Stegostoma tigrinum: one gene and its partners. The protein of the gene in region 3 purifies or fractionates together with the protein of the main gene of each other region. This does not show direct contact. Links are inferred from orthologs where the notes say so. Each region holds a gene or a part of one and is shown on either strand. Other genes may lie near its edges.

Evidence for each region.
Region 1: the proteins of cdk6 (region 3) and hsp90ab1 purify together in Homo sapiens (co-immunoprecipitation; 4 studies listed by BioGRID and IntAct, with this or other methods). This does not show direct contact. The link is inferred for Stegostoma tigrinum from reciprocal best matches to the Homo sapiens genes CDK6 and HSP90AB1.
Region 2: the proteins of cdk6 (region 3) and cdc37 purify together in Homo sapiens (affinity purification with western blotting; 5 studies listed by BioGRID and IntAct, with this or other methods). This does not show direct contact. The link is inferred for Stegostoma tigrinum from reciprocal best matches to the Homo sapiens genes CDK6 and CDC37.

What each region holds. Positions count from the first base shown.
Region 1 is NC_081357.1:1,517,762-1,525,251, reverse strand, and holds the start of hsp90ab1 (heat shock protein HSP 90-beta), read right to left. Parts: upstream 3,006-7,490; 5' UTR 2,947-3,005; intron 238-2,946; 5' UTR 188-237; intron 1-187. UniProt on the Homo sapiens protein: Molecular chaperone that promotes the maturation, structural maintenance and proper regulation of specific target proteins involved for instance in cell cycle control and signal transduction. Undergoes a functional cycle linked to its ATPase activity.
Region 2 is NC_081388.1:22,687,508-22,695,564, reverse strand, and holds the start of cdc37 (hsp90 co-chaperone Cdc37), read right to left. Parts: upstream 3,006-8,057; 5' UTR 2,915-3,005; coding exon 2,813-2,914; intron 1-2,812. UniProt on the Homo sapiens protein: Co-chaperone that binds to numerous kinases and promotes their interaction with the Hsp90 complex, resulting in stabilization and promotion of their activity. Inhibits HSP90AA1 ATPase activity.
Region 3 is NC_081355.1:77,668,727-77,675,700, forward strand, and holds the start of cdk6 (cyclin-dependent kinase 6), read right to left. Parts: upstream 3,054-6,974; 5' UTR 2,838-3,053; intron 2,503-2,837; exon of another isoform or gene 2,397-2,502; intron 1,909-2,396; exon of another isoform or gene 1,779-1,908; intron 1,102-1,778; exon of another isoform or gene 944-1,101; intron 762-943; 5' UTR 685-761; coding exon 455-684; intron 1-454. UniProt on the Homo sapiens protein: Serine/threonine-protein kinase involved in the control of the cell cycle and differentiation; promotes G1/S transition. Phosphorylates pRB/RB1 and NPM1.

The sequences.
Region 1 (7,490 bases), on a different chromosome or scaffold from region 3:
ACCGTGTTTCTCTCTCTCTCTGACAGGATTTACCGGTGACCGGACACGATACCGGGTGTAATTACCGTGTTTCTCTCTCTCTCTGACAGGATTTACCGGTGACCGGACACGATACCGGGTATAATTACCGTGTTTCTCTCTCTGACAGGATTTACCGGTGACCGGACACGATACCGGGTATAATTACCGTGTTTCTCTCTCTCTCTCTGACAGGATTTACCGGTGACCGGACACGATACCAGGTGTAATTACCGTGTTTCTCTCTCTCTCTCTGACAGGATTTACCGGTGACCGGACACGATACCGGGTATAATTACCGTGTTTCTCTCTCTCTCTGACAGGATTTACCGGTGACCGGACACGATACCGGGTATAATTACCGTGTTTCTCTCTCTCTCTGACAGGATTTACCGGTGACCGGACACGATACCGGGTATAATTACCGTGTTTCTCTCTCTCTGACAGGATTTACCGGTGACCGGACACGATACCGGGTATAATTACCGTGTTTCTCTCTCTCTCTGACAGGATTTACCGGTGACCGGACACGATACCAGGTGTAATTACCGTGTTTCTCTCTCTCTCTGACAGGATTTACCGGTGACCGGACACGATACCGGGTATAATTACCGTGTTTCTCTCTCTCTCTGACAGGATTTACCGGTGACCGGACACGATACCGGGTATAATTACCGTGTTTCTCTCTCTCTCTCTGACAGGATTTACCGGTGACCGGACACGATACCGGGTATAATTACCGTGTTTCTCTCTCTCTCTCTGACAGGATTTACCGGTGACCGGACACGATACCGGGTATAATTACCGTGTTTCTCTCTCTCTCTGACAGGATTTACCGGTGACCGGACACGATACCGGGTATAATTACCGTGTTTCTCTCTCTCTCTCTGACAGGATTTACCGGTGACCGGACACGATACCGGGTATAATTACCGTGTTTCTCTCTCTCTCTCTGACAGGATTTACCGGTGACCGGACACGATACCGGGTATAATTACCGTGTTTCTCTCTCTCTGACAGGATTTACCGGTGACCGGACACGATACCGGGTATAATTACCGTGTTTCTCTCTCTCTCTGACAGGATTTACCGGTGACCGGACACGATACCGGGTATAATTACCGTGTTTCTCTCTCTGACAGGATTTACCGGTGACCGGACACGATACCGGGTATAATTACCGTGTTTCTCTCTCTGACAGGATTTACCGGTGACCGGACACGATACCGGGTATAATTACCGTGTTTCTCTCTCTCTCTGACAGGATTTACCGGTGACCGGACACGATACCGGGTATAATTACCGTGTTTCTCTCTCTCTCTCTGACAGGATTTACCGGTGACCGGACACGATACCGGGTATAATTACCGTGTTTCTCTCTCTCTGACAGGATTTACCGGTGACCGGACACGATACCGGGTATAATTACCGTGTTTCTCTCTCTCTCTCTGACAGGATTTACCGGTGACCGGACACGATACCGGGTATAATTACCGTGTTTCTCTCTCTCTCTCTGACAGGATTTACCGGTGACCGGACACGATACCGGGTATAATTACCGTGTTTCTCTCTCTCTGACAGGATTTACCGGTGACCGGACACGATACCGGGTATAATTACCGTGTTTCTCTCTCTCTCTGACAGGATTTACCGGTGACCGGACACGATACCGGGTATAATTACCGTGTTTCTCTCTCTCTCTGACAGGATTTACCGGTGACCGGACACGATACCGGGTATAATTACCGTGTTTCTCTCTCTCTCTCTGACAGGATTTACCGGTGACCGGACACGATACCGGGTATAATTACCGTGTTTCTCTCTCTCTCTGACAGGATTTACCGGTGACCGGACACGATACCGGGTATAATTACCGTGTTTCTCTCTCTGACAGGATTTACCGGTGACCGGACACGATACCGGGTATAATTACCGTGTTTCTCTCTCTCTCTCTGACAGGATTTACCGGTGACCGGACACGATACCGGGTATAATTACCGTGTTTCTCTCTCTCTGACAGGATTTACCGGTGACCGGACACGATACCGGGTGTAATTACCGTGTTTCTCTCTCTCTCTCTGACAGGATTTACCGGTGACCGGACACGATACCGGGTATAATTACCGTGTTTCTCTCTCTCTCTCTGACAGGATTTACCGGTGACCGGACACGATACCGGGTATAATTACCGTGTTTCTCTCTCTCTCTGACAGGATTTACCGGTGACCGGACACGATACCGGGTATAATTACCGTGTTTCTCTCTCTCTCTGACAGGATTTACCGGTGACCGGACACGATACCGGGTATAATTACCGTGTTTCTCTCTCTCTGACAGGATTTACCGGTGACCGGACACGATACCGGGTATAATTACCGTGTTTCTCTCTCTCTGACAGGATTTACCGGTGACCGGACACGATACCGGGTATAATTACCGTGTTTCTCTCTCTCTCTGACAGGATTTACCGGTGACCGGACACGATACCGGGTATAATTACCGTGTTTCTCTCTCTCTCTGACAGGATTTACCGGTGACCGGACACGATACCGGGTATAATTACCGTGTTTCTCTCTCTCTCTCTGACAGGATTTACCGGTGACCGGACACGATACCGGGTATAATTACCGTGTTTCTCTCTCTCTCTGACAGGATTTACCGGTGACCGGACACGATACCGGGTATAATTACCGTGTTTCTCTCTCTGACAGGATTTACCGGTGACCGGACACGATACCGGGTGTAATTACCGTGTTTCTCTCTCTCTCTCTGACAGGATTTACCGGTGACCGGACACGATACCGGGTATAATTACCGTGTTTCTCTCTCTCTCTCTGACAGGATTTACCGGTGACCGGACACGATACCGGGTATAATTACCGTGTTTCTCTCTCTCTCTGACAGGATTTACCGGTGACCGGACACGATGCCGAAGCTGACGCTAGGCCTGATGGTCCTGACCGGATCACACCCGGACCGCCCACGCGGATGAACAGATCAATCCGCGGTGGAGGGCTATGGCGGTAAGACCTGGACCTCCGGAAGTGGCCCTCCCTATACTGCACAAGCACAACCCGCACAGGGCCCTGTCCCCGACACCAAACCGGGGGGGACACACAAAGCCCCAGAAAGGTGGCTGGAACAGCGGGATATTTACTTAGAGCGGAGGGAGATGCTGCGGGGGCGGGCGGTTACACAGTTTGTTCCAGCACTTTCTATGCGGTGACGTAAGGACGTCGCGGGGAAGGCGGGGCCTTTGTTACCAAGGAGACGGCAGGCAAAAGTGATGGCGGCGGGAAGACGCCCAGAGAGAGAGAGAGACCCTGATCCCCCTCTCCCAGAGAGAGAGAGAGAGAGAGAAACCCTGATCCCCCTCTCCCAGAGAGAGAGAGAAACCCTGATCCCCCTCTCCACGAGAGAGAGAGAAACCCTGATCCCCCTCTCCCAGAGAGAGAGAGAAACCCTGATCCCCCTCTCCCAGAGAGAGAGAGAGAGAGAAACCCTGATCCCCCTCTCCCAGAGAGAGAGAGAGAAAAACCCTGATCCCCCTCTCCCAGAGAGAGAGAGAGAGAAACCCTGATCCCCCTCTCCCAGAGAGAGAGAAACCCTGATCCCCCTCTCCCAGAGAGAGAGAGAGAAACCCTGATCCCCCTCTCCCAGAGAGAGAGATAGAAACCCTGATCCCCCTCTCCCAGAGAGAGAGAGAGAAACCCTGATCCCCCTCTCCCAGAGAGAGAGAGAAAAACCCTGATCCCCCTCTCCCAGAGAGAGAGAAAAACCCTGATCCCCCTCTCCCAGAGAGAGAGAGAGAAAAACCCTGATCCCCCTCTCCTAGAGAGAGAGAGAGAGAAACCCTGATCCCCCTCTCCCAGAGAGAGAGAGAAAAACCCTGATCCCCCTCTCCCAGAGAGAGAGAGAGAAAAACCCTGATCCCCCTCTCCTAGAGAGAGAGAGAGAGAGAAACCCTGATCCCTCTCTCCCAGAGAGAGAGAGAGAGAAACCCTGATCCCCCTCTCCCAGAGACTGATAGAAACCCTGATCCCCCTCTCCACAAGAGAGAGAGAAACCCTGATCCCCCTCTCCCAGAGAGAGAGAGAAAAACCCTGATCCCCCTCTCCACGAGAGAGAGACAAACCCTGTTCCCCCTCCCAGAGAGAGAGATAGAAACCCTGATCCCCCTCTCCCAGAGACTGATAGAAACCCTGATCCCCCTCTCCCAGAGAGAGAGAGAGACCCTGATCCCCCTCTCCCAGAGAGAGAGAGAAAAACCCTGATCACCCTCTCCCAGAGAGAGAGAGAAACCCTGATCCCCCTCTCCCAGAGAGAGAGAGAGACAAACCCTGATCCCCCTCTCCCAGAGAGAGAGAGAGAGAGAGAGAGAAACCCTGATTCCCCTCTCCCAGAGAGTGATAGAAACCTGATCCCCCTCTCCCAGAGAGAGAGAAACCCTGATCCCTCTCTCCCAGAGAGAGAGAGAAAAACCCTGATCCCCCTCTCCCAGAGAGAGAGAGAAAAACCCTGATCCCCCTCTCCCAGAGAGAGAGAAAAACCCTGATCCCCCTCTCCCAGAGAGAGAGAGAGAAAAACCCTGATCCCCCTCTCCTAGAGAGAGAGAGAGAAACCCTGATCCCCCTCTCCCAGAGAGAGAGAGAAAAACCCTGATCCCCCTCTCCCAGAGAGAGAGAGAGAAAAACCCTGATCCCCCTCTCCTAGAGAGAGAGAGAGAGAAACCCTGATCCCTCTCTCCCAGAGAGAGAGAGAGAGAAACCCTGATCCCCCTCTCCCAGAGAGAGAGAAACCCTGATCCCCATTCCCAGAGAGCGAGAGAAACCCTGATCCCCCTCTCCCAGAGAGAGAGAGAGAGAAACCCTGATCCACCTCTCCCCGAGAGAGAGCGACCCTGTTCCCCCACCCAGAGAGTGAGAGAGAGAGAAACCCTGATCCCCCTCCCAGAGAGAGATAGAAACCCTAATTCGCCCCTCCCAGAGGGAGAGAGAAACCCTGCTCCCCCTCTCCCAGAGAGAGAGTGAGAGAGAAACCCTGATCCCCCTCTCCCAGAGAGAGAGTGAGTGAGAAACCCTGATCTCCCTCTCCCAGAGAGAGTGAGAGACCCTGATCACCTTCTCCCAGAGAGAGAGAGAGAAATCCTGATTCCCCTCTCCCAGCCCAGAGAGTGAGAGACCCTGATCCCCTTCTCCCAGAGAGAGAGCGGGAAACCCTGATTCCCCTCTCCCAGAGAGAGGGAGAAACCCTGATCCCCCTCTCTGAGAGACAGAGAATTCCTGATCCCCCTCCCAGAGAGGGAGAGAGAAACCCTGATCCCTCCTTCTCAGAGAGAGACGGAGAGAGAAACCCTGATCCCCCTCTCCCAGAGAGAGAGAGAGAGATGGAGAAATCCTGACCCCCCTCTTCCAGAGAGAGAGAGAAAAAAAAACCTTGACCCCCCTCTCCCAGAGAGAGAGAGAGAGAAACCCTGATTCCCCTCTCCCCGAGTGAGAGAGAGGAAACCCTGATACCCCTCTCCCAGAGAGAGACAGTGAGAAACCCTGATCCCCCTCTCCCAGAGAGAGAGAGAGAGAGATGGAGGAATCCTGATCCCCCTCTTCCAGAGAGAGAGAGAGAAAGAGAGACAGACAGACGACCATGGCTTCTCCTGAGAGAGAGACGGAGAGATCTGATGCCCCACCCGCCCACCTGAGTGAGGGAGATTGATCCTGAGCCCAGTCCTGATGGGGATGGAGAAAGAGAGACCCCGATCCCCTCCCAGAGAGGGAACCCTCGGCCCTTCAGAGAGAGTGAAAGCTGCCTCCAGGCTCAGCCTGCAGCCCTACCCCACAACCCTCCCAACATTGCCAGGGACAGAGCTCCCCCTGCAATCTGTGCCCATGTCCAGTCCCTATCCATTACCAGACCCAGATCTTGCATCTCCTCCAATCCATGTTCAGGTCTTCGATCACCGAAGGCCCAGCAGCTCAGCTTTGAGTTGCACTCCATACCCCATGGCTCCTGCTCACTGACCACACAGTGCCTTCAAGACACAAGCAAGTTGCACAGTTTTCTCAATGTTTTGACCAAAGGGTTCATTCAGCCTAGCTATCTATGGCCCTTGGAATGTGAGCCTGCAAACTCCACTGATGTAAAACAAAGGCAAAACACTGCAGGAGATGCTGGAGAGCTGAGGTACAAACAAAAGTGTAGAATCTCATCACATTTGCCAGCATCTGTACAGAGAGCAAAACAACTTTTCAATTGGAATTGAGCGAACTTTTGTTTTGTCAAACATCCACTGCTTGCTTGTGTCTGTCACCATCTAGATGTCAGCACTGAAAGATTCACAAGGAAATATCAATATGACGGCTAACATCCAAATTTAATTTCAACAGTTGCCTACTTGTTTTTGTTATAATTTAGAATGATTATTATTGATATTTGTGCTAATTCCCCCCCCCCCCCCCCCCCCCAGTTGATGGATATTGTGCATTCTTAATTGCTGAAGTGAGGGGTTAGGATTCCTGCAGCTCACCTCTTCTCTCCCTTTACCACCAATACTCAGTAGCAGCAGTGTGGATCATCTACAAGATGCTGTGCAGGGATTCACCAAGGTTCCTTAGCACCTACCAAACCCGTGACCACTTCTATCTCGAGGGACATGGGTAGCAGGTACAGTTGGGAGAGAACACATCCTCAGTGAGAGACTACCAGATAGACGGTGCGTGTGTATTTCTGGGATATTGGAGCACAATGGGAATTCAGTGCTGGGGTGAGGGGAGGTGCTTTAATTGATTTTTTTTTTGTTGTCTGTGGCTTATAGTTTGTAAGGACTAAATTCTATAGTGATATAGGACCAGGAATAAGAACCCTAGAGTAATTAACATTATTTGATATTAAGCATCTTCCGAAAAGTTCAATTTAACTACTGCCAGGAGAGATCAGAGCTACAGAGTGCCCTTTCTTCTCAATGTGAGAAGTCAGTCAATGGTAGCATTTGTGCGAGAAGTGTCTCTATCTATAGCTCCTGGAAGCCCAGTATTCTTCATTGTGGATAATATGTACAGAGAGGCAGTCACACCATGGACGAAGAGAATGGTCACCATCAGGAAGATCAAAGGGACCAGGCAGGCAGTGCAGGAGTCTCCTGTGACTATACCCTGCAAAGCAGATAAACCTCTTTGGACACTGTTGAGGGGAATGGCAGAAATAGCTAAATTTGGTGCACCATGGTTGACTTTGCTGCATAGTGGAAGAGTAAAAAGTGTGGGAATGTAATCATTATAGGGGATTCAATTGTAAGAGAATTAGTTTGGTGACTGCAATTGAGACTCCAGGATAGAATGTTGCACCCCTGATGTGAGGGTCAATGTTGTCATAGAGCAACTACAAAACATTTTGAGGAGGGGAGGATGAACTGCTAGTGGTTGCATGGTGGTGCAAACTACATAGATTTTTTAAAAAAGACCGAGGTCCTGAAAGCA
Region 2 (8,057 bases), on a different chromosome or scaffold from region 3:
GGTTTTTTACAACAATTGACAGTACAATGGTTACTATTAGTTTAGCTTTCTAATTCCAAAGTTCAAAACTTCACCTACCATGCCCCCAGAATATTACCCTGGGGCTCTAGATTATTAGTTCAGTGACATGGCCACCTTGCCAGTGAATATTGCTGTACAATGATCAAAGTCCCAGATTCAAGACTCTCCAGCCTCCTCTCCCCAAAGGTTAAAAGGAGTGGCACCTGTTTTGTCTGGAAACAGACCCCCTAATGAAAAGGCTAACGAGAAGGAGACTTCCTTTCTGAAGTCTGTGATTCGATTGTTCAACATGGTCCTTGTACTCCATCAAGGTCATTGTTTTTCAGCTTCATCACATCAGATCAGTTCCGGCATGACATGAATGTGTTCAACAACCTCACCATATCTGAAGCTTTTGTTCAACCAGCTATTCGCTCAGACTCACCAGATTTAAATAAACCAAGCATCTCAAGTTGGAACAAATGTACACAAGACTTGACACCAAGAAAACAAACCATTCCTACATACTTATCTATAGCTTCACTTTGAAGCCGAATGAGGGATTTCTGCTCAACATACATTGTGGAGGAAAGAATACAACAAGTACAAAATAAAGTATGCTGCTAACAAAGTTACAATATTCTGCTAGGAACCCAAAAACCACAATTTTCATCATTCTAAAAAACTGTGACACCAGAAAATTAACTATTAAAATGGTCCCAACTGATTTTAAAAGGCAGAGTAAGAAATAGTCATGCTGACCAATACAATTCGAGTGTTATATTTCAGGATTCAGTATGATCTTCCACAAGCTATGCTAGAAGGTGTTAACTTTTTATGGGAATACAGAATGACAAGAAAGAAAAAAAGAGTTTCTCTCAGCAAAAGATATTGGAGCAGAACTAGGCCATTCAGCACAGTGTGTCTGCTCCACTACTCAGTCATGGCTGATAATGTCTCAATACCACTCTCTTGCCTTCTTCCCTGATCCCCTCACTGATCAAGAATCTACCTGTCTTAAAGAGAAAGAATGACTAGGTCTCAACAGCTTTCAGCAACAATAAGTTACACAGATTCACCACCCTCTGGCTGAAGAAATTTTTCCCAGTCTCAGTTCTAAAGGGTTATCCCTTCATTCTGAGTTTGAGCCTCAGGTCCTCACCTTTGCTACGTGGTAACATCTTATCTACACCCATTCCATCCAGACCTCTTAACATTCTCCAAGTTTCAATGAGAATCCCCCTTCATCCTTCTGAAATCCATGTAGTACAGACTCAGACTCCTCAACCATTGCTCATACGACAAGCCCATCAGCCCTGGGGTCACTCCTGTCAGTCACCTCTGGACTGCCTCCCAAGACAATACATCCTTCCGTGGATACGAAGTCCAGAATTGCTCACAATACTCCAGATGTGGTCTTGCCAGAACTTTATACAAACACAACAGCACATCTGCACTCTGGTATTCCAATTCATTTGAAACGAAAGCAAATATGTCCTCCTAACTGTAAAATGAGCCTGCATGTCAACAGAATCCTGAACTAGGATGCCCAAGTCCCTTTGTGCTTCAGATTTCCGAAGCCTTTGGACATTTAGAAAATATTGTGCTAGCAACCCAAAACCGCAATTTCAAATCATTCTTGTTAGGAAATTGTGACACCAGATGATTAACAATTAAAGACGTCCAACTCATGTGAAAAAGGCAGAGTAAGTCACAGTTGACTCTCTATTCTTCCTTGTGTTGCATTTCACCAGCTACTTTGGTGCACACTCATCCAGTCGGTCCAGGTCCTTCTGTAGATTCAGCACCTCCTCAACACTATCTGCCTCCATCGATCTTAATATCATGTGCAAAAGCATAGACTATGGCCATGCGGTATTATTGCTGGACTGTTAATGCAGAAACACAAGTAATGTCTTGGAGACCCAGGTTTAAATCCTGTCACAGTAGATGTGGAATTTGAATTCAATAAAAAAATCTGTAATTAAGAGTCTAATGAAAATCAAGAAACTATTGTCAAGTGTCAGAAAAACCCATCTGGTTCAGTGATGTCCTTCAGGGAAAAGAACTGGCATCCTTAGCCAGTCTGATCTATACGTGGCTCGAGACGCAGAGTCATGTGGTTGACTCATAAGTGGTGTCTAGACAATTAGGATGGGCAATAAATCCCATCTCATCCCAAGCATGAATAAACAAAAAAAAAGACCAAATATGCCATCAGTTTCTTTGTTAATGCATGACATGAATAGCTGCGGTCCCAACACTGAGCTGTGAGGAAGTCCACTAGTCAGTGGCTGCCATCCTGAAAAAGGGCCCTTGAGCCCCCAACTCTGCCTGGAGAGCCAATCCCCTTTCCGTGCCCTAACACCATGGGATCCTACTCAGAGACCTGTGCAACACCTTGTCAAAGGTCTTGTGGAAATCTAAATGGAGGGATCAAGAATTTCAGGTAATGAAAGGAGTGTGGGCAGGGTGGGGGTGGACGAGGAGGTGGTGGTGGACGAGGAAGTGGTGGTGGGGGGTGGTGGACGAGGTGGTGGGGGGAGGAGGTGGTGGTCGGGGGGTTGGAGGTGGGCTGGTGGTGGTGGTGGGGGTTGTGGGGCGTCGCCGCTGGAGGGAAGGCTGTTGGGAGGTCGGACAGAGGGGAACGAAGTCTACCGAAGCGGCGGGGGGGTCAATCCGGGACTATTTGAAGGAGATGAGGATGGGGGGTGTATCAGGGCCCGGGGGTTTAAGAAGGTGATGGGGACGGGATAGATGGAAGCCGGCCCTGGTGGTGGGGGGAATGGAGGTGCCCGGCCCCGGAGTTTACCTGGTGCCGCCAGCGGAACAGGCTGGCCGTGTCAATGTTCGGGTGGGTGTCGTCCTCATCATCCGACACCTCGATATGGTCCCACACGCTATAATCCACCATCGTTTCCCCGTCTCCAATTGTCCCAGGCCCAGCTTCTAGAACACTCGCTGGGCCGCCTCTCTACACGTCACTTCCGGACACACGTCACTTCCGCCGACTGTCACCGCCCAGCTCCATGATGTCAACGTCTCCCTTGTCGGGACGGCAAAACCAGTCCCGAGGATCAGAGATAATGGGAACTGCAGATGCTGGAGAACCCAAGATAACAAAGTGTGGGGCTGGGTGGACACAGCAGGCCCAGGAGCAGACCCCGGCCCCAAAAATCAGTCCCGCCCTAAAATCAATCCCGCCCCAAAATCCAGTCCCTAAAATCAGTCGCGCCCCAAAAACCAATCCACAGGATCGGAACCCCTACCAACATCCAGTGTACAGGAATTAGACCACCCCAAAAACTGGCCACAGGAATAGACCACTCCAAAAACAGTCCATAGGATCAGACACCCCCAAAAATCTATCCGTGGGATCAGACACCCCCCAGAAACCAGACCACAGGATCAGACCCCCCCCTCAAAAACCTCCAAAAACCAGTCCACAGGATCAGTCCCAGCCCAAAATCCAGTCAACAGGCTTATACCCCCTCCAAAAACCAGACACTACGAACAGAGCCCCCCCCCGCCAAAAAACCAGTCCACAGGATCAGACCCCCTCTCAAAAACTAGTCATCGGGATCAAACACCTCCAAAGACCAGTCCACAGGATCAGATCCACCCCAAAAACCAGTCCCTAGGATCAGACACACCCCTCCCAAAATCCAGTCCCAAGGGTCAGACAGCCCCTCCCAAAAGCCAGTCCCAAGGATCAGACACACCTCTCCCAAAATCCAGTCCCAAGGGTCAGACACCCCCTCCCTACAACCAGTCCCTAGGATCAGACACCCCCTCCAAAAACTAGTCCCTCGGATAAGACACCCCTCCAAAACCCAGTCCCGAGGATCAGGCACACCCCCAAAAACCAGTCGCTCGGATCAGACAACCCCCCCAAAACCCAGTCCCTACGATCAGACCCCCTCCCAACACGGAGTCCCTCTGAATCAGACACCCCCCGACAAAAACCAGTCCCTTGGATCAGACCCCGCCCCATTAAACCATACGCTCGGATCAGACAACCCCCCAAAAAACCAGTCCCTCGGATCAGGCACCCCCCCAAAAACCAGTCCCACGGATCAGACAACCCCACCCCAAAAACTAGTCCCTCGGAATCAGACCGCCCCTCCCAAAAACCAGTCCCTCGGATCAGACACTCCTCCCAAAAACCAGTCCCTAGGATCAGACACCCCCCTCCCAAAAAGCAGTCCCTAGGATCAGACACCCCAGCCAAAAACCATTCCCTCGGATCAGACCCCCCCTCCCAAAAACCAGTCCCTAGGATCAGACACCCACTCCCAAAAACCAGTCTCTAGGATCAGACACCCCCTCACAAAAACCAGTCCCTTGGATCAGACACCCCTCCCAAAAACCAGTCCCTAGGATCGGACCCTTCCCCCCAAAACCCAGTCCACACGATCAGACACTCCCCCCACAAAAACCAGTCCCTCAGATCAGAACACCCCAAAACCAGTACCTAGAATCAGAGATAATGGGAACTGCAGATGCTGGAGATTCCAAGATAATAAAATGTGAGGCTGGATGAACACAGCAGGCCAAGCAGCATCTCAGGAGCACAAAAGCTGACGTTTCGGGCCTAGACCCTTCATCAGAGAGGGGGATGGGGGGAGGGAACTGGAATAAATAGGGAGAGAGGGGGAGGCGGACCGAAGATGGAGAGTAAAGAAGATAGGTGGAGAGAGTGTAGGTGGGGAGGTAGGGAGGGGATAGGTCAGTCCAGGGAAGACGGACAGGTCAAGGAGGTGGGATGAGGTTAGTAGGTAGCTGGGGGTGCGGCTTGGGGTGGGAGGAAGGGATGGGTGAGAGGAAGAACCGGTTAGGGAGGCAGAGACAGGTTGGACTGGTTTTGGGATGCAGTGGGTGGGGGGGAAGAGCTGGGCTGGTTGTGTGGTGCAGTGGGGGGAGGGGATGAACTGGGCTGGTTTAGGGATGCAGTAGGGGAAGGGGAGATTTTGAAACTGGTGAAGTCCACATGGATACCATATGGCTGCAGGGTTCCCAGGCGGAATATGAGTTGCTGTTCCTGCAACCTTTGGGTGGCATCATTGTGGCAGTGCAGGAGGCCCATGATGAATCAGACCAGTCCACAGAATCAGACACGCCCCTAAAAACCAGTCCATAGGGACAGACTCCCCCCAAAACCCGGTCCCGAGAATCAGAACTCCCCAAAACCAGTCAATTTGATCTGATCCCTCCAAAAATTGGTCCATAGGATCAGAACCCCCTCAAAACCCAGTCCTTCGGATCAGACGGCCAAAAAAACAAGTCCATAGAATCAGACCCCACAAAAAACAGTCACTAGGATTGTAAACACCCCCGCCAAAACCAGTCCACAGGATCAGATCCACCCAAAAAAGAGTCCCTAGGATCAGACCCACCGCAAAAACCAGTCCACAGGATTATACCACCCCAAAAAAACCAGTCCCAAGGATCAGACAGCCCCAAAAATCTATCCGTGGGATCAGACTCCCCCCAGAAACCAGACCATAGGATCAGACCCCCGCCCTCAAAAACTAGTCATCGAGATCAAACACCTCCAAAAACCAGTCCCTAGGATCAGACACCCCCTCCCAAAAACCAGTCCCTCGGAATCAGACACCCCATCCCAAAAACCAGTACCTAAGATCAGACACCCCCCGCCCAAAAACCAGTCCCTAGGATCAGACCCGCCCCCAAAAACCAGTCCCACAGATCAAACCCCCCTCCCAAAAACCAGTCCCTTGGATCAGACCCCGCCTCCCAAAAACCAGTCCCTAGGATCAGACACCGCCCTCCCAAAAAGCAGTCCCTAGGATTAGACGCCACCCCCAAAAACCAGTCCCACGGATCAGACACCCCTGCCAAAAACCATTCCCTCGGATCAGACCCCCCCTCCCAAAAACCAGTCCCTAGGATCAGACCCCTCCAAAAACCAGTCCCTAGGATCAGACCCCCCTCCCAAAAACCAGTCCCTCGGATCAGACACCCACCAAAAACCAGTCCCTCGGAATCAGACACACTCCTCCGAAAAATCAGTCCCTCAGAATCAGACACCCCCCCCCCCACCAAAACCAGTCCCTTGGATCAGACACCCCCCCCCTAAAAACCAGTCCCTCGGATCAGACACCTCCAAAAATCTATCCGTGGGATCAGACACCCCCCAGAAACCAGACCACTGGATCAGACCTCCCCCCTCAAAAACTAGTCATCGGAATCAAACACCTCCAAAAACCAGTCGCTAGGATCAGGCACTCCTCCCAAAAACCAGTCCCTAGGATCAGACACCCCCTTCCCAAAAACCAGTCACTCAGATCAGACCACGCCCCCCAAAAACCAGTCCCACGGATCAGACACCCCTCCCAAAAACCAGACTCTCGGATCAGACCCCTCCCTCCCAAAAACCAGTCCCTCGGATCAGACACCCCTCCCAAAAACCAGTCCCTAGGATCAGACACCCCCTCCCAAAAACCAGTTCCTCGGATCAGACCCCTCCAAAAACCAGTCCCTCGGAATCAGACACCCCCCTCCTAAAAACCAGTCCCTAGGATCAGACCCCCTCCCAAAAACCAGTCCCTAGGATCAGACACCCCATCCCCAAAAGCCAGTCCCTCAGAATCAGACCCCCGACAAAAACAAGTCCTTCAGAATCAGATCCCCCTCATAAAAACCAGTCCCTCGGATTCACACACCCCCCTCCCAAAAACCAGTCCCTTGGACCAGAACCCCCCTCACAAAAACCCGTCCCTAGGATCAGACCACCCTCCCAAAAACCAGTCCACAGGATCAGACACACCCCCCCACAAAAACCAGTCCCTAGGATCAGACCACCCTCCCAAAAACCAGTCCACAGGATCAGACATACTCCCCCCCCACAAAAACCAGTCCCTAGGATCAGACCACCCTCCCAAAAACCAGTCCACAGGATCAGACACACCGCCCCCCAACAAAAACCAGTCCCTAGGATCAGACCACCCTCCCAAAAACCAGTCCCTAGCATCAGACACGACCCCAAAAAGCCAGTCCACAAGATCAGACTCTCCCCCCACAAAAACCACTCCCTCAGATCAGAACTCCCCAAGACCAGTACCTAGAATCAGACTAGTCCACAGGATCAGACACGCCCCTAAAAACCAGTCCATAGGGTCAGACTCCGCCCAAAAACCTCTCCTGAGAATCAGAACTCCCACAAAACCAGTCAGTTGGATCGGATCCCTCCAAAAATTGGTCCATAGGATCAGAACCCCCCTCAAAACCCAGTCATTCGGATCAGACGGCCAAAAAAAGTCCATAGGATCAGACCCCACAAAAACCAGTCACTAGGATCATACCCCCCCCCAAAAGCAGTCAATTGGATCTGACCCCCTCCCAAAAACAGTGCATAGGACAGAACCCTCCCCGCACAAAACCAGTCCCTAGGATCAAACTCTCCCCATAAACCAGTCCAGAGGATATAACCCCCGCAAAAAAGTCCACAGGATCAGACCGCCCCGCACCCCCCCCCCCCAAAACAGTCCATAGCATAAGACCCTCCCAGAACCGGTCAAGAGGATCAGATCCCCTCAAAAAACAATCAATAGGATCTGACATTAAGCCCCACAAAAAATACCAGTCAATAGAATCGGAACACCCGAAAACCTGTCCCTAAGATCAGATCCCTCTAAAAAAAACCATTGGATTAGAACCCCTCGAAAAGACAATCAATAGAATCAGACACCCACCCCAAAAAAACCCAGTCAATAAGATCAGAAGCCCCTAAAACCAATCCCTAGGATCAGGTCCCTCTAAAAAAAACAATCTATAGGATCAAAATCCCCCAAAAGACAATAGGATCAGACACCCCAAAAAAAGCCAGTCCATCGGCTCAGACCCACCCCCAAACCAGTCCATACAATCAGAATTCCCCCCAAAAAAGTCCGTAGGATCAGACCCCCCCCTCGAAAAAAAAGTCCATAGGATCAGACACGCCCCTAAAAACCAGTCCACAGGATCAGACCACCCCAAAAACCGGTTCATAGGATCAGACACCCCCAAAACTAATCTATAGACTCAGCCCCCCCCTC
Region 3 (6,974 bases):
CAGGCCAAGCAGCATCTGAGGAACAGGAAGGCTTGATAATGCTTGTTTTATTGGTATAATTTCACTAAATGTCTGCCAGAGGAAGCACAGTGTTACTGCGGGTGGGACTGGTGAACATTTTTGATGTTTTCGCACTTGACTGATCACACGACACACTAACTTTTCCAGAAAAGCATGTGTGTGTGTGTGCGCGCGCACTCACATATAGATCTCTCACAATTCGGGGTCCTTTCACAAACAAATCCCAGGTTGGTCACAGTAAACTCCCAGGTTGAGAAATGATCCATGCCAAAGGTCTGACTTGAAACTACACTCGCCCCTCCTCAGGGGCCAAACATAGGTCGTGGAAATTGAGCTTCCCGGCGCCACTGGGGAGGGGGGGGGGCGGGGGTGCAGAACTGTGGTGAAATTACACCTCCCCACCAATTCAATGGCAGTGTCTCCCTCTCCTCACCTGACCACGTTGGGATGCTCGAAGGACTCGAGTTGCCTCAGTACAGCCACCTCCCGGATGGTGGAGAGAGGCATCCCTTCTTCCCCGGTCTGAACTCGCACTTTCTTCAGAGCCACGAAGCGACCTTCGTTGTTCCTGTCTCTGGCCTTGTAAACCTTACCGTACGCCCCCTCCCCGATCTCGGCCACCGGTTCGTAGCGGTCGGAGAAACTCGCCTCTTTCCCCTCCATGGCGCCGAGTTCGGATCCCCGCGCTGCCCTTCACACATAGACGGAAACAAGTTTGGGTACAGTCGGGCCAGTCACATCTGGAAAGCGAAGAGAACAAGTGATTGATAATGACAATGCATATTGAAGAAAACTTTTGCGGGATGTAAAGTGAAAATGCATGGGCAGCTGGCTAATGGGGCGTTTCTTTTTTTTGTTGAAGCAACACGTTAGCCGAGTTGACAGAAAGTTAATGTGTCCAGTCATGAGGACGACGCTCTACCATTGAAAGTTTTGCAGCGATGCCTCGAAAGCTCGGTTCCCCGCGAGAAGACATGAGTGGAAAGGGGCGAGCAGCTGGCCCTCGGCAAAGGGAGAGCAGCTGCAGCCCCGGGTATCCAAACACACACACTCCCGCTCACTGCAGCCGCCGACCGGGATCCTAACTTTCCAAAGCATGCGCACAGCGACCACCTTCAACACGTGCTACTGGCAAAAGATTGTGTACAAAACAAATAGTTCAAACTAACAGGCAGCCAGAGAGCCGCCAGCTTAAACAAACAATTTACCCCGGTGCAGCTTTGATCACCTCACCCCCCCCATAATGAAGTTTATTTTCCGTCAGTCACTTTGCCTTTAATTTTAACCGTGTGGGGGGTGGGGTGGGAATTAGTAATTCCCAAAAGATTCCCGCAGGATTTTTTTCCTCCCGCATCCACTGTACCCACGGGGTTGCGAACGGATAGCCTTTCCGCTGCTCCTGTATAAATAAACAGGTATAAAGAGAGGCTTTCGTTTCACCTCACCTCCTTCCCCCACAACCAACCCACCTCAAATCTCGATCTGTCACCGAGACTGACAGCCAGCTCCCTAGTGCCAGCCGTCGGTGGGTTTTTGGCAATGCTGCTTGTGGGATTGTGTGGCACAAGACAAATGCTGAACTCAGGGGAACACTACATGTCTCAGCAAGCATGGGCCGCCCCATTGCATTTGTCATCCAGAATATTGATGAGACAAGACCCCACGTTGAAAACACCATGCAGCTTTAAATATATATTATACATATATATATAATACCCTGCCGAAAATCTAAGTCTTCTTGAATTAAAACAATATACCTGATTCTAAGCATGTATTGAGAGCACCGGCCAGGACGCAGCTTCGATTATTACAGCTATGGTGAAGCTCAAGCCCCGCACTTTTATCTAAAAAAAGGTTTTTTTAAAATGCTTCCACAGTCGAGAGCATAATGGGACAGCCAGCCCTGATCGCTAAAGACTCGGCCACACAGGTAGATGCTGCACACTTTGTGGCGTGTGAACGAGGAAATCTGTCATTTGGGGTGGGGGGTATGGAGGACAGATTGCAATTGACGCAAAAGCGAAAAAAAAGTCGGCGCAGACCATGTAATCTGCAGAACTCGTCGAGTAAATATACTTTTTTGTTGCCGAACAGAGCAGTATATATACATGTATCTTGTAGGCAGCCGGGGTGGAGAGTTTCTGTCTCCACCACCAACTTCATCACTCCCCCCCGCCTCTTTCTCTTTTTATCCTGAGGATTTCGTTCTCCTCTAGCCCTTGTCGAAGAAAGAGAGAGCAGTGCTGCTGCCTTTTCTTTCCCACGACGCCTGAATGTGACCCCCCTTCAGCAGTTGACACAGAGCATCAACATTTCCGCATTCCTCAAACAACAAAGGCGAAATGCCGCCCGGCCTTTTTCTCTTCCCAACTCACTCATTCACTCTCTCTCTCTCTTGCACTCTCCGCTCAATGTCCCTTTCGTTTCTCACTGTCAAGTTCCAGCAGACCCGAAAGGAAGAGAAACTTAAAGCCTACACAACGCAACATAAGCTTCCTCCCCCGCCCCCCCCCCCGCACCCCTCGCCTCTCCTCGCCACCAACCACCAACACACTTTCTCCTCATTAAAAAAAAGAAAAAAAACAATTCCTGCTTCCTGGATCACGCTAACGGTTCAGCTCAGTTAACTTTTGGAGAAGTTAAGCCAGTTAAACCCTTGGCTAATGTCCCGCTGGATTCCGACCCTTTTGTTCCCTTAGCTTGCAAAAAGTATTGCAATCGAACGGCATATTAGCACTCTTGTTCGTGAACTTGCAGAGTTCAGACTTATGCCAACAACAATCAAAAGTGATATAAAGTTCACGATGCATACGTACCGCATATCCTGTTACTGCCAATTCATTTGCCCTTGCCAACGTTGCCAGCTACTAATCTGAAATGTGTAGGATTTTGTTCCCTTGCCCCCGAAAGTGATGTGAAAGTGGCCAGTTCAAACGCTAGCGGATAATCAGTAAACAGGGCAGAGCTAAACCTACAAAACAACGTTTACTTTCTTCAAACCAACACGTCCGAAGGGGTCTGTCACACAGCAACTCTTTTACCCACAATACTTAAAGGGAAATAGATCACGTTTCAATATACCAGCGGTACACTACTAATATATACGTATACATAAAATGTAGATTTGCCTACCGTGGAAGAAACATTGAGCATTTTTCTGAATTCAAACATTGCAGTTGATTACTCAATTTGCATGAGCACTCAAAGCTTAAAGGTTATTGAAGCCAAACTGCACTAATCAAGTGGGGCCAGAGCGGGGTACAACATCAATACCTGCATTGAAAATCTAGAACTTGTTTAAAACTTGCTCCATTCCAGGAAACGTGAATCGGTTTATTTCTCCGAAAAAAAACCTTCAAAGATTGCTCATTTATGTGTCATGATGATTTATATGTGTATACATCTGAAACAAGATTCCAGCCTGACCCTGTTGTCGCAAATATTCAATATAATCTACACTTCAGAAATCAGCTAAATCTACGCTTTTTTTTTAAAAGATGCGTTGGCAACTGGGGCTACCAAACAGTCCTGTGGCTAAAGGCTTTTGTTTTGGTAAGTCGTCCTCTATATTTCCCTTTTACAGTTTACGACGATGTTAAAATGAAAAGTGAGAGGACGAAAATGAAAGGTGCAAGTCAGTAGCAATATGCAGAAAAAAACCTAATTTGTAAAACACTAAAGGCAAGTTAGTAATGATTTTAAATACTTGAAATTATAGAAAATGATTTTGATGTTATTTTAGCAATTTGTAACTAACTGAAAAAATAATCAATTAAAATCCAAAGCAAATGTCTAATATTACAAAATAGTATATGTACATATTTCAAACAATATACCATATTTCAAAATAAGTTTCACAGACATGATTATTTCCTTAAAATGTAGCTTTCTGTTTCATTCATTTAGAAAATGTTTATGTGTTGATGATTTAGTAAATAAATTTACCTAACACAAATACAAAATTAGCTCATGTATCAATTGCCATGTATTATAAAATCCAGAACTAACCCATATTTTCGTGCTTTTATGTTCATGTTTTTATTAGCATCATTATTGCACTCAAACATAAGTATAACCAATCTCCAAAATATTGTTAGGTTATTTATACCTGCTGATTTATATTTCAAATAAAATATTTGATAACCAAATGATCAAATAAACTAAAATATTTGATAATCAGAATTAAAAGCCTTAAAGATGTATAAAATTAATATGTTATTTTCTTTTAGGTCTTAGACTTTTGATATTTCTGAAAGGAGTTGTGGTGTTTGTAGTTCGCAATTTTTTAAAAAGTTATAATGTCAAACATTAGTATACTGCTTATTGCAAAGAATCACAGTTAATTACAATACCTTTTTAACATATGGTTACAGTATGATATAGATATTGTGAAAAGTACTTTAACAAATTTGATTAATCTAAAAGCTATGCTGACAAATCCAAAGTTATGTTACAGTGTAGTCCCTGTGTGGTTGCAGCTGACCTTTCCTCCCATTCCCCCACACCTCCTTTTACCCCACAAAGATCCTTACAGGTTCCCTGAGGCAAAGAGCAGAGTTCAAAGAGATTTGTACACAAATTTCATATAATTGGTATTGACAAACAAATACATTTTAAAACTGATCCAACTTGGAAAGTAATTTTTGCATCAGTAGAGATGATAATCTTTATGGAAAATAGCATTAAGAATTAATAGTGTTATGTTTCATCCTTTACGTAAAATAGAATAACAAATAGGGATTAAATTTTTTAATGATTGATTCTTGTTGGAGGTTGTTAATATCTTTTGATTTTGAAAGATTTTGAAAAATAATGTCACTTCTTTTCAATTAAAAAACTTTATAATGAGCAAGTGGCAAATTAACTACTCAAATTTGAAAATAAAAATGATGACAGCTTAGAAAATATCTTGAATAATGATGCTTGAAAGCACATTGAGAAATACAATACACCAATGGTCATAAAATCAGCATATCTGTTCAATAAAACCTGAGCATATTCAACATGTAACAAAACTATGAAGCTATATTCCAACACAGACTTTATTGTGTGCTGCTTATTCCTAATATTTTCTTTGTTTGGCATTTCAAAACATGACCTGTTGTTTATTCACATTACTGAACATTTAATTGACCTTTCATTTGAAAAGCAACAACAAGGCAATTGATTTTTGAGGAATATCAATGCAGTTCTTAAATGCAGGGCAAGAGATGACTCACCTCTTGTCTACAAAAGGAGTAGTTCTGAAATTAATGGAACATGAGAAAGGAATTGTACCTTCACACACATTACATTAAAAATGTAATCTGTATACTATCTATCTATGACTAAGTATGAAAGAAAGCATTGATGTGTATTCTTATTACAGAACTGAATTAACTAGATGCTTAATCTCTTTTAGAGTAATAACAGAAATATTTGCAGAATATTTTTAAAATAGCAAACATAGAAAGTGAGAGTGACATTACAACTCAACTGTTTTATAAGCTTAATGACTCTTTGTAGTCTGAAATATGCTGGTAATTTATTGTTTGATATATTGATTTGGAACTTACAAAAATACTGTAATTTTTTGTTACTATTAGAATGCTTTACAATTTTCAAAGAAAGCAAAATGTTCACTCTGATACCATTTGAAATCAAAATCTGTGTCTTTAAAAGTAACAATCTAGTAGTCTGCTTGAATTCAGTGTACTTTCTAACATCAAACTTTTGTGGTGTGCTTTCTATCCTCTATACATTGAAAAATTACAGCTACATAGTGTGAACTGCATAGCTAACATAGAAAGCCGAAGTGCAAATAATGTGTAAGTATTATTTATGAATATATCTTAAAATGCCTTCACAGCATATGTAGTGATGTAAATCTACTTTTTCTTTTCATTGTAAGAAACAACACTTACAATATCTACTTCGTTTTAACATTTTTCATGAAATGATCAGATTGCAGTTAATTCCATTAGAATAGCGATTAAGAGTTTATATGTCTAACCATGGCTGTAAAGGTTTCAGATGATGGTGTTACTTTATTGCAGAGACCAATGATCCAGGATGTAAATAAGCACTGGTTTGAAAAACATTGAATTTTAATCCATTGTACAGTGAGGATAAGCAATTTAATTGTGAAACAAGCCTTGAGTACACATATCAATTTGAACTGTTTTATTTTCATCCTTAACAATTAGGTAAAAAAATCAAATTTAAAAAATACATTCAACCCTGTAGGAAAGTTAAATTGATATTATGACGTTGTTGGGTTTTTAACATATTTGTTAAGGGATTGAGAATAAATTATGTGTTTTTGTGTTGATAGTTCACTAAACAGATTTCACTGCTGATTTGTCACTCAACAGATTTCACTGCTGATTGTTCACTCAACAGATTTCATTGCTGATTTTTCACTCAACAGATTTCACTGTTCATTGTTCACTCAACAGATTTCATTGCTGATTGTTAACTCAACAGATTTCACTGTTGATCTTCTTCTCAGCAGATATTAGAAAAGGCTTTCTCCTCAAGTTTTGAATTGGATTTCTATAATTAATATTTTGTTAAGTCATAACTACATCTATAAATGGAAATGTTATGTCTTGAAAGATGCCTTTTGAAGAAGTAATTTATGTAAGCCTGTTGCTTCTTTATTAAAGAATAGTAGTACGTGTATGTTTGAGTATACTTGTGATGCGTTACACGATCCATGATTTTGGTATTACAGAGATGTCAAATAGTGGAGGCGTCTAATAATTCCATTTTGCATATTTCCTGTAATATACCCAAAGCACAAAGAATAATGAAATAAACCATTGATATCTTATTAAAATGTTGAAATACACAATGTAGAACGTATAATTTAAATTTATAATTTTGGCATTGAAAACAACAAATAATGTTTTTAATAATTAATAATTCTATTAATCAGTGAAACTTACATAAATTCACCACTATAAATGCAC